Drosophila melanogaster: one gene and its partner. Changing the gene in region 1 together with any one later gene gives a genetic interaction. Each region holds a gene or a part of one and is shown on either strand. Other genes may lie near its edges. The genes, in order: spas and atl.

Region 1 (7,173 bases):
CGGAAATAAAATAAACCGAATGAGAAATTCAACAAAAACAAACAAATAAAAACTGAAAAGAGAAAATGCTAATTACGCGCGACAGAGTTAAAACAAAAAGAAAACAATCGAAACAAAAACGTGACAAAGCAAATTGTAATTGTAACTATGTGGAACATGTGTCAACGAAAACTGAAGACGGAAAGAGGGTAGTTTCAGTGGGATGAAAGGATAGCCGCAAGCAAGCAAGCCGAATGCAAAAACAAGAGGAAAAACAAATTTAGTCACTAAGAGAATGTAAATTCGAGCATACATATTGTATATTTCCAATGTGGAAAACGAAATGCGATATAAATATGTAAAATGTAAAATAAAGAAGCAAAAAAATATATAAAACAAGTGAGAAAACGAAGGGACGCTGGTTTTTATATTGAGGTAATGAATTAGGATGTGGAATTATTATTTCAAACTTTAATTTATATCATTGATGATAGAAGTGGTTACTACTACTACAAATCTGGTGGAGGATTCAGCGGAGTCTAAAATATAGTTAAAAAGTAATTAACTTTTACAATTGTGCTAAAAAGTTTTCTTAAGGTATAACATACATACATGAATGAATTTTATAGCTTTAATATTCTCTAGTGAGACGCAGTTTTTCTGCGAAACTAGTTTTCATGAATGCTTAATTCTTCTGCTTACTTTCTCTTAATTTAAATGCACCTGGTGATGTCAGCCGTTGCTCAATTCTCAATACACTACCAATGGTTTCCAATAGCTTAGAATTTTGTTGATGATTAAGAATGCAATTGATGTTTCTTGAAATCGATTTTATTTAGCGTATTCTATAGATTTCTTTATATATATAGTTTTATATGCATGTAGTTTTTTTTTGTATCTGTGTTTAGTAACTAGTCAAAGAACTCAAATTCCGGGTGGGCGAGCTGCGTTGAAGCTGGTTCAATGTGTCGCGATAAGCGACGGGCATGTGCGCGGGTGAAGATGTATCTGATCGATCTGATAACACCAGATCCATACGCACCTGCTAGGTACAACATTTTTGGGTGTGTTACTAATAATATAGGTGAATCGGAGACGATTGTATTTATGGCTGTAGGTACATAGATTGAAACAAAGGAACTAAACTAGACTAACCATACGGACAGTGATAACTATTAAAACTTAAATACGATTCTGCGCTGGTAAATGTATCTTTGTGGGTGTGTATAAGTATATCATCGGTCTTAGGTCTACGCTTACTTCTAGATTACATGTAGCTTGTGGATGGGCACTCAATGTACAACAAAAATATGCTTTATAGTTCAAGGATACAATGGAAGTAGTTGTGAACTCCTTGGGCCGCCTGTCTTACAAAAAATCACTACGGAATGTTTCAAAAAACTAATTTATAAAGCAATGTGGCCTTGAATTACTATCATAAACGAAGATAGGGCAAACCTACTATTCTAAGAACTCCAATGAAAAGTACAGATCTTAGAAATATATACCATGAGTATGAGTATAACGATAATGGAGCTGCATGGCAAATGTTGCACCACATGGACATGGTGGTTAAACAACGAAAAAATACAATACAATGTTCTTAGGCTAAAACACCAGAAATAGCTGGGAAACAAATCATATTAAATAACTCACAGGTAAATACAAATGTAACAATGTTTGTGAAACGAAAAGTCTACGGATTGAATAGAACCTTAAGGGCGAAAAACATGGGTCACATAATCAAAACTAGTGTAACGACAATGGGTTGCGCTCTGAGACTCACATCACAGCTTCTCCAAATTGGATTGATGAAGGAGGGCAGGATCATTGGCTAGAACAGACTAGATGGTGATGTCGCCATAATCTTGCGACCACTTCTCATATGAGTTGAGGCTTTGCGGCGCCACCGAGCGCCTGATGCGCTTGAGCGAACTGTGAAAGTCCTGCTCTGTGATTGCACGCATTGCACTGATGTCCAGACACTTCACTTGCTCCACATTCAACTCTCGAATGGGCTCCAATGCGGCGTCCTTGGCCAGTGCCGTTAAGTCGGAGCCCGAGTATCCGTCTGTTATCTTTGCAAGGCGACGCAACGCCTCGGTATCCAACGGACTGCCTTGCTTCTGGAGCAGTCGATTGAGGAGCAGCTCGCGGGTTTGCTCGTCGGGCAGTGAGACGTAAACGCGCTTTGTGAACCGACGCAGGGCTGCCTCGTCCAATTCCTGCGGTCGATTGGTGGCGGCCAGCACCACGATCCTGTCTCCGTCTGGATTTCCAGGCAGCCCATCGAACTCCACTAGAAACTCGGTCTTTAGGCGACGCGATGCTTCATGCTCGCTGCTGCTTCGCTCTGAAAGCAACGAGTCCACCTCGTCGATGAAAATAATGGAGGGCTGCATGTGACGGGCCACGGCGAAGAGAGCCCTCACCAGTTTCTCGCCATCCCCCACGTACTTGCTGGTCAGCGAGGCAGCCGAAATGTTCAGGAAGGTGGCACTACACTCAGTAGCCACGGCGCGGGCCAGCAGTGTCTTGCCATTTCCGGGAGGACCAAACAGCAATAAACCCTTAGCCGGTGCACGAAGCCCTAAAAAGGAAGAAGATTGGTTATGGTGACGGTTCTAGTCGCAGAATAACCAACTCACCCGTAAAGAGTTCCGGTCGGACGGAGGGTAGAATGACCATTTCCTGTAGAGCCTGCTTGGCCACATCCTGACCGGCAATGTCAGTCCACTCCACTTTGGCCCCACCCTCGACGATCTCGTCGAGTATAAGTTGCACCAGCTTCTGTTCCACTCCCTTCACACTAACCACCGGAGTGCTGGCGCCACTGCCACTGGGTCCGTTGTTGTTTATGGGAGTCCGCGAACGCTGGGGCGGCGTATTACGCCCCGAAGACTGTAATATGAGTAATTTAGTTTAATTAGTATTTTAATTTCTGAGTATTTGCCAAATGTGTAAAAACAAATTTAGTTTACTTATCAGATACTCACAAATTGTCGCCGAACGGCGGGAGGCGTTGCAGCTGTCTTGGCTGGTTGCCTTTGGACTGCGCCTACAGATGTTTTGGAGCCAAGGTTGCGGGGCAGCGTTTGTGATTTGTTGGCCACGGCCAAGTTGACGGGTCGTTTGGATCCAATTGTCAGTTTGCGGCCAGATGCTGTGAACGAATTAGCACAATCAGAGATGGATAATGCGGAAGAATATACTCTTTTACAAGTTTACAATTTGGCCAATCGAAATAAAAAATTCTAAGAAAATCAAGTGCCAAGTGAGGTGATAGGGATTGACTAATCGATCTGCTTATGGTGGCTTTGCGCTGGCGTGTGAGGATCTTGTTGGGTGCGCGTTAGCTGGTGAGGAACTTACCAGTGGGTTGGGCACTGGTGGTGGCCTTGGGCCCATAGCCACTGCTGCGCACCCTTAGTTTCATTGGTTCGTTGGTCATTCCTGCCAGCATGGGCTCCCTGGTCTTCTGCGGCTTGCTTTGAGCCTCTTCTTTCTGCTTCTCCTTTAAGGAGAGGCGCTGCATTTGCAAATCCTGCTCACGCAGAGCTGCGCACCGGATGAACATGTGCATATGGACAAAACGGAGGGGACAACAAAAAAGCAGGGGAAAACGTGCAAAATGAAATAAAAAAAAAATGAGGTAAACAAATCCTATGTTTTAGGGGTATAGGAAATATGACTGGTCACTTACCTAGAAAATGGAGACGATCCCGCGCCATCGAAAGGTTTGTCTGCATCTTGTCGTGCAGGCGCTGAGCCCGATCCCACACATCACCACGTCCACTCCAGCAATCGACAGCTATGCCATCCTCTAGCTCCTTGATACCTTTTCGGTAGAGCTCAATTGCCAGCTCTTTGTGACCTGAATATATAGAATAATATTATTTTATGTTTATTTTATAACTATTATGTTCAATCAAGCTCGCTTTCCTCTTATAAATAATTTGACAAAGAGTACGCTTATATGCATTAGAATTTAAAAATCGCATGCTTGGAGAACTTCCACTCCATAAAAGTCCATCAAGGCAGACAACCCTACTCCTGTTGACATTTGGGGCATCCATTGTGCGCGCGTTTTGCCTTATTGATTCTCACACTCGACAGACAACAAAAGCGGACAGCGGGCGATGACTCATTGAGCATTCGAGCACTCGAACTCGAACTGGAGCTGCCACCCCCGTCGCCGAAACTCACCTTCGTTCTCCTCATCAATTTTGAGCGCCTTGGAGATGTACTCGAAGGCGCGTCGATGGTGATGCTTCTGCTTGGCCAGCAATGGATCGCCGGGACCAGGTGAATACCCTCCTCCCGGACGATTGGCGGCCATCTCCAACGGTTGAATGGGCCTGAAACGCTGTGGCTGATTGGATAACTGCTGTTCCTGTCCGTCACCTTCACGGTTCAGCTCCGAAGGATGGTTCAACGACTGCTGTTGCTCCTTGGAGGAATTCTGCACCACGATTTCAATATTACAGTCGCGTCGGTGCGGGCGGTATATCACCTTTGTGCTCGCACCGTATAGGTAGCGAAAAATACAAAACAGCTGATAAATCAGCGAGCGCAGAACGTTGAAAAGAAAGATTATGGGGAACGAGACGACGTAGAGGTTCTGTTTGTGCACAGAGGACGAGTAGCCGCCGTACGAATGGTGGTGGCCGCTGCGTGGGGAGCACGTTGTGGGGGTCAGGTCATCTGTGGTGGTGGTGTCGTCGTCGCCGTCGGGTGAGCTGCCCGGACTACGGCGATTCGATGAGGAGCCTCCACCGGCGGCAGATGAACCGCCGGCAACAACGGCAGCAACGTTTGAGGCGCTCGACGAGCGGTGAGTGGACTGGCGACCACCGAGTCCTCCGCCGGATGATCCTGCCCCGCTGCTGGACTTTATTGGTGACTTGGTGCTGCTGCTGCTGGCGCTGGAGGAGGACGACTGGTTTTTAGTGCGTACCATCGATATCGATTCCGCGCTGTCTGCGCGTCCAGCACTCCGGCCCCCTGCTCTCCTTGCCCTAACCCCGTGAAAGTTGCACGGGGAAATTATCCTTGTAAGCCAAATCGGTTGGCCGTGGCACGCGTTTGTATCGATGCCGCACAAAAAAACAAACAAATCTCGAATATTATTGTTGTACGTCGTTTGAGCTAGTGCTCATTTTGCTGATATCCGAGAGTACTGATTTTCTTCCGCACTTACAACTCTCACTACGTTGAAAATTGAAGCTAAGCTCTGGAGTCCCAGCCAGTGCTGACCAACTATCGATTACCAAATCTAGCGGGCAAGGTTGTGAAGTCAGACAAACAGGCAATTTCAAAGTTTAAATGGTGGAATGTAACGGATGAAATATAATTTGGGAGACTTTCACCGAAGTGCAGTATGGAGACATTCGTAATTGAAGGTAAGTTTGATTTATTGCCTTGTTTATCATTTCCTTTTTGTTTATACGAATATTTTTAACAGAAAACATTTTGTGTCCTTTACAACATCCTTAACGGTTGGCTGATTTAGCGGAAAAACGCTAACTTGTCATATCGTAGAGATCCAGCTGTCAATAAAGTTACCAGACAGTTTCGGATCCGATGTTTTTGGATGGAAATATTTAAATTACGTGATCAATTTTAAGCAACTGATCGAAATAATAGTTTTGATTTGTTAAATTCGTAGAATTCAAACACAATTGCCGGAAAATTGGGGAAAAATATCGCATTATTTGGCGGTCGCCTAGTGTGGCAGCCCTGGTAGCTGGGTTGCGATATATCGACCTTGATACACCTACTGCCATCCCCATCACTCTGGGTTGTTTTTTTTTGCGTTTTTGCATAACAAAATCCTAGAATTTCGGCCTAAACGCCAGCGATCTCTGACCAGCAGAGCACGAGCACAGGAGCGGCATATCTCACTTGGAGAGCAGTCGGAATGGGACAGTACACGGCGTCGCAGCGCAAGAATGTTAGGATCCTGCTCGTCGGCGACGCCGGGGTGGGTAAGACGTCGTTGATTCTGTCTCTGGTCAGTGAGGAGTACCCGGAGGAGGTTCCGCCTAGGGCTGAGGAGATTACCATTCCGGCGAACGTGACGCCCGAGCAGGTGCCCACCAGCATAGTTGACTTCTCGGCCGTGGAGCAGTCGGAGGATGCCCTGGCCGCCGAAATTAACAAGGCGCACGTGGTGTGCATAGTGTACGCCGTGGACGATGACGACACTTTGGATCGGATCACATCCCATTGGCTGCCGCTCGTCCGGGCCAAGTGCAATCCCTCCCTGGACGGCGAGGGTGATGCCGAAGCGGAGGCGGAAGGAGACACACAACGAGAGCCCATTCGGAAGCCAATCGTTCTGGTGGGTAACAAAATAGACCTCATCGAGTATTCCACCATGGACAGCGTGCTGGCCATCATGGAAGACTACCCCGAGATTGAGAGTTGCGTGGAGTGCTCTGCCAAGTCGCTGCACAACATCTCCGAGATGTTTTACTACGCCCAGAAGGCTGTGCTGCACCCGACTTCTCCCCTGTATATGATGGAAGAACAGGAGGTAAGTGCTTCCGGAGTGGATCATAGGTCGCAACTATATCATTGCGCCGTAATTGGCGGTTTTGCGATAGGTAATCAGCTTGTACTCTTCTAATAAAACTTCGCATTTTCAGCTCACATCCGCCTGCAAGAAGTCGCTGGTGCGCATTTTCAAGATCTGCGACATTGACGGGGACAATCTGTTGAACGATTACGAGCTGAATTTATTCCAGCGACGCTGTTTCAACACACCACTCCAGCCGCAAATCCTTGATGAGGTGAAGGCCGTGATACAGAAAAATGTGCCCGATGGCATATACAACGATGCGGTCACCCTGAAGGGCTTCCTCTTCTTACACTGCCTTTTCATTCAGCGGGGAAGGAACGAGACAACCTGGGCGGTGTTACGGCGCTTTGGCTATAACGACCAGTTGGAGATGTGCCAGGAGTATCTTAGGCCACCGCTGAAAATACCGCCTGGCAGCAGCACAGAACTCTCGCACCGCGGACAGCAGTTTCTGATTGCCGTGTTTGAGCGCTATGATCGCGATGGCGACGGAGCCTTATCACCTGAGGAGCACAAGATGCTCTTCAGCACATGCCCGGCTGCTCCGTGGTCCTACTCCACCGACATACGCAAGTCCTGCCCGATCAACGAGACAACTGGATGGGTGACAC
Region 2 (5,134 bases), 590 kb from region 1:
GCTGGCAGCAGGCTCAACAAGATGGAGTGCCCTACTACATAGCCGCCGAATTGGACTACGATCGACCGGAGGACAATCGCACCCGGCGCTTTGTGGTCGGCGATGGCAAGCGTTACGGACGATTTACCAATAAGCCGTTGGATCAACCAGATGCACATGTCCACATCAGTCTCGGATTGGTGAGTAATGCATTAAATTCGAATGAATATCTCTGTAACTATTTATATTCTAGGTGAGCACACTGGAGGGCGTTACCAAGACGATGTACAGTCGTGGAACTCACGACCAGCATGTGACATCCCTAGACGACTTTAGTTACGCCACCTTTGAGAAGGGTCAATCCTCGGTGGTTGCCCTAGCTGTCACCTGTGTGATCTTCGGCTCCTGCCTCCTGCTCAGTCTTATTGCCTACTTCTATCTGCGCTACAAGACCTGCCGCGGGCGACGATTGACTGGTGGCAATACGCACGAGATGACGCTGCAAACGCCCATAATCGAGCGGGAAAATAACGGATACCTTGTGGAGGACGATCCACTGCCACACTCGCCGGAAAACTTCAAGCAGCAGTTGCAACAGTTGGTGGAAGGATACGAACGGATACCAAGGAATGCACTACGACTAAATGTGAACGATGTGATCGGAGACGGACGCTTTGGTGAGATTATAACCGGAAAGGTTTCCACAAACGATTTTGCCAGAGATTGCACCCTGCACGTGCTCTGTCTGGACGATCTGAATGGTACTACACAGGCACAGTTGCTGAGAGAACTACGTCAGTTGTCTCAATTGAAGCGCCAGGAGCATTTGCTAGATTTCTATGGAGTATCAGCAAGTCCCGATTGGTTCTACCTAATCTTCGAGCAGCAACGCATGAGTCTAAAGAGAAAACTGGTGGAGAGTCGCCTGATGGCACCGTCGCCACGCTTGACTTCCCTCTCTGAGCAGCTAGTGCTGCAGTGGATCTACGAGCTTGCCAGTGCCATGAATTATCTATCCAGCTGCCAGGTGGTGCATCGACAGCTCTGCTCGCACAGCGTCTTCGTTACCAGCGATTTCAAGCTAAAACTGAGCGTCTTTGGACCGCTGCCCTACATGAACATTGCTCGCCAGCAGCCAGACCACAACCGGTGGCTGGCCCCGGAGGTGCTGCGCCATCAGCATCACCATTCCACCCGTTCTGATGTCTGGTCCCTGGCCTGCGTGGCGTGGGAATGCTGTGCCCTTGGCGGTACTCCCTATGCCAATGCAGTGGCAAGTAACCAACAGCTTCTAGAGGCCATTCGGGCTGCAGTGCGTCCGGCGCAGCCAGCCTACGTCTACGGGGATCTCTACCAGCTGCTGCTCAACTGCTGGCAGCTGGAGCCGAGCGAGCGGAGCAGCTGTGAGGACGTGGCCTTCGGAGTACGTCAGCTGATGACCTCACCGCGTCATGCCCTCAGCTTTGATCGAGTGGCCGGCGGACTAGACACCCTGCCTCCGTACCTGCCGCAACTGGAAGCCGTTGCTACGATGGGCTGAGGTGCAGCCGAATAGTATAATTAGCTTTAGTCAGCGAGAGACCACATTCGCATAGAGTAGATTTCGGTTCTGAGTCACTGCTGCTAAGAGAAAACATCACTTCATTTCGATTTTAGATGAGTTCACTTTCAGTGTTCTGAAGAGAAAATAATTTGTTTTAGAATTTACACATTGATTTAATAAAGCTCATAAATTGTTATTATCCATATAATATTAGAAGTGAGCATTTATGAAACACAATTCGATGTTTATTGTTAATACGCACAAACTTCCTACAAATAAAAGAGTGTTCTATGCCAGAGCTTATCAGATCTATAAGGTAGTTAATTGCTTATCTACAACCCGAAAGAAAGGAATCGACTTTCCCCCACGCGAAACAAAGTTCAAGCGAACGTGCTCGATGGAGAGCGCGATAGATAAAAGACTACTGACAGTCTGGCCCCCAAAATTGTGTAATAAATTGAGGGATCCATAGCGAATGGATCTACCAACAGACCAGCGACTGTGATTCCCCCGCCGATCGCTGATGTTGCACAAACCAGACAAAAGCGAAAACTAAAAGCAAAAAAAAAACCAAGGGAGAGAGCCGCGAATGCGAAACTTTGATCGCTGGCGAGCAGCAATTAATAATAGAAAATAAACGGCGGTGTTGCTTAAGTGTGAGTGGATCAAAATTGACGATTAATCAGTTTAAAGGTCTTGCATTGCATCTATTGTTTGTTATGTTGTTTAAGAATTAATTAGGGAAATTGTTGGCAGCAGCCTAGATGCGGTTACATGCATTATTAGTCATCCGAAATAGTAGGGCACTTTATGTATGTATATTCCATTGGTTTGGACAATCATCTTATAATGAAGCTACATAGCAAAAAAAAAAAAAAAATCTAAATCTGTGTATATTCTTCCGATATGCACTTTTCAAATGAAATGTTCAAAATTCGTTATCAGTACTTAAAATTTCTCACTATGTACAAGCTTATCTCGGGATCCTTCCCAAAGAAGATAAGCCATTGTTTCTCTTGTCGACGTGTAACTATTGGATCCACCAAAAAACCCAAAGCACATGGCTCACCCGGAATTTAGAGCGACTTTCTTATAGAGTATATGGTAAATACGGTAAATGAAGCGCAACGATATCCATAGCGACTTTTGGACGCTTACCTTGCCCGCAATTCAAGGTGAAATGACGACGAACAATTGAAGTCACTGAAATGTGTATACATTCCGAGCAAATGGGCAATTATTATTAATAAATCGAGCTGAATGGCTGCTATCGGAATTCAGGGGCTTCGACTGCCGACCATGCTCATGAATATGTGGAAGATGATGATGATGATGAGGTTCATCCGGTATTGGCCAACTTTGCGAGTGTTTTGCATTCGCCTGGTTAAATTGTTATTGTTTTTGTTACATATACACACATGGAGATTATGAGGAATCCAAGGAAACTGGTTGCTCACACACGCACACCAACGCACTGCGACGGAGCCACTCACGCACACTACCAAATGGTCGGCTAACTGCGCAAATAATGCGGCTTCTGTGTCGGCCTTTGTTACTCACTTTACTTAACCATTTACATCGGACACTGGACTTCACTGCGCTGCGATTTTTCGACACTTTGGAAGCAGAAAAGTACGTATTTTGTTTGTGCTCTGCCAATGGTGTGACCGTACACCGTTGGGCGAAAAATCACCTATAAGTGTGGGGGTGAAAATTCATTAGCCAACACTGAAATGCTTATCGATAACATTTAGCTATTTTTAGTATTAGCTAACTGGTATATATTAACGGTCATCATAAGGTCACACTGCAAACGGTTAAACGAACGGCCACATTGTGTTGGACCGATGATGTGGATTTAAAAGTTAAATATTTCAAACTTAGTTATAGCAAATAGCTATGGACATCACCCAGAGCTTCAAGGCCAGCGTAATGACGGTGCGCCTGCAGCGCAAGGCCGAGCTGGCCGGAAAGGCCAAGCCCGCCACAGTGCCGACAAAAACTGGACCAATTGGCCCAAAGGATGACTTCGCCAAGCAGGCCAAGGAGGTGTGCAACAAGATCACTTCGCTGCGCAATGTGCTGATCGAGAACCGCACCGCCTACATGCGCATTGGCCAGCACCTCAAGTCCGCCGCACACATGACCGACGCGCAGCGGGATCTGATTGATCGCGAGTCGGAGAAGTTCGTCACCTTTTACACGCAGCACCTGGCCAAGATGCGCAGCGATTGGAAGAGCGCCAAGCGGAAGCCGCAGGAGCGTCAGCACATCGACGCCGTGCTGGACCTGCTGGTCAGCTATTTGCACAGCGTGGAACAGATCTATCTGGACCAAAAGAAGTACCGTGTGCAACACGAACTGGAAACCTATAGGCTGCTCAAGCTGGCGGCGGACAAAAAGAAGATACCAGTGCGTCCGGCGGGCAGCAACAGTGGCAAGCTGGGCAGGCGCCAGGTCAGCAACGATGACAGCGAAGCCACGAAGTCATCTTCACAAGCAAATGGCAACCACGACGAGTCCGCCGACAATGACTGGAATAACGACGCCTGGGGCGACTGGGATGAAGACGAGGAAGGCGACGAGGTGGACGATCACGATGGCGAGAAGGGCAAGGAAGCCAATCAGGCCAATCAACACAAACCGCGTACGCGCAAACGAAGCAAAGCCAACAGATCGGATCTGAACAACTCATCCTCCAAGATGGCTCTGGATGAGGAGCTCCAGCAGCAGCAGGAGGCCGACGATGACGATCCCCTAAGCGCCGAGGATGTGCAGCTCTTCGAGGCGGAGAACGTACACATCTACAACTTTCTGCAGGGCGTCTCCGAGGAGGTGGAGCAGATCGAAAAGAACGTGGTAGACATTGCCCAACTGCAGGACATTTTCACCGAAAAGGTAAGATGGCATGATAACACAAGTCCCAAGGAATCCTTGCTGTTCTTAACAACGATATCTTTAGTTTAATTTTGGTGAGAACATATTGCTCCATATTGCCAAGAATACTTAGTGGGTTTAAGTGGCTGCCCATATGTTTGTCGACTTAATCCTTCAATTAAAAATATTAATTGGCTTCGCTAAAATCCACATCCTTCGCGATTACAATGGATGTATAAGCCGGGCTCTTATTAGCATGCAATTAATTATTAACTAGATCCAGATAGATCCACGTCCTAATCTCATTTAATCCTCTTAAATTTCCCTTTCCCTTTTGTAGGTCGCCATGCAACAGCACAATATCGACAGGATAGTTAGTGCCGTCGTGGGCACCACGGAAAACGTCAAGGACGCCAACGAGCAAATCCGGCAGGCCACTCAACGAAATGCAGGACTACGCGTGTGGTCGCTGTTCTTCCTGCTGGTCATGTCGTTCTCCCTGCTCTTCTTGGACTGGTACTACGATTAAGTGAAGTCCCCAAATTTATGTGTAACCCACCCAATTTAGGGAATGATAAATGCAAAAATGTTTTGTTATCGTTTGATCGCACTAAAAGCATATTTTGTTTATTACATAATTTATAAATAAAAGGAAAATATTTGTTTAGGCTATTCAACTGCCTTGTTTCAATTCAATGAAACCTCGTACAACAATATGGAACTAAAATCGATTTG

What was found.
Region 2: of spas (region 1) and atl, changing one suppresses a phenotype caused by changing the other (phenotypic suppression), as found in Drosophila melanogaster (one study listed by BioGRID).

Annotation. Positions count from the first base shown.
Region 1 is NT_033777.3:24,036,275-24,043,447, reverse strand, and holds spas (spastin), read right to left. Parts: upstream 5,234-7,173; 5' UTR 4,940-5,233; coding exon 4,186-4,939; intron 3,854-4,185; coding exon 3,683-3,853; intron 3,538-3,682; coding exon 3,352-3,537; intron 3,143-3,351; coding exon 2,976-3,142; intron 2,881-2,975; coding exon 2,628-2,880; intron 2,570-2,627; coding exon 1,824-2,569; 3' UTR 794-1,823; downstream 1-793. Other genes in the region: Miro (mitochondrial Rho), read left to right, coding at 5,900-6,517, 6,630-7,173. UniProt on the Drosophila melanogaster protein: ATP-dependent microtubule severing protein. Stimulates microtubule minus-end depolymerization and poleward microtubule flux in the mitotic spindle. Regulates microtubule stability in the neuromuscular junction synapse.
Region 2 is NT_033777.3:24,623,761-24,628,894, reverse strand, and holds the start of atl (atlastin), read right to left. Parts: upstream 3,225-5,134; 5' UTR 3,083-3,224; intron 1,830-3,082; exon of another isoform or gene 1,520-1,829; coding exon of another isoform or gene 233-1,519; intron 180-232; coding exon of another isoform or gene 1-179. Other genes in the region: wsck, read left to right, coding at 1-179, 233-1,519; Syx18 (syntaxin 18), read left to right, coding at 3,422-4,420, 4,740-4,928. UniProt on the Drosophila melanogaster protein: Membrane-anchored GTPase that mediates the GTP-dependent fusion of endoplasmic reticulum (ER) membranes, maintaining the continuous ER network. It facilitates the formation of three-way junctions where ER tubules intersect.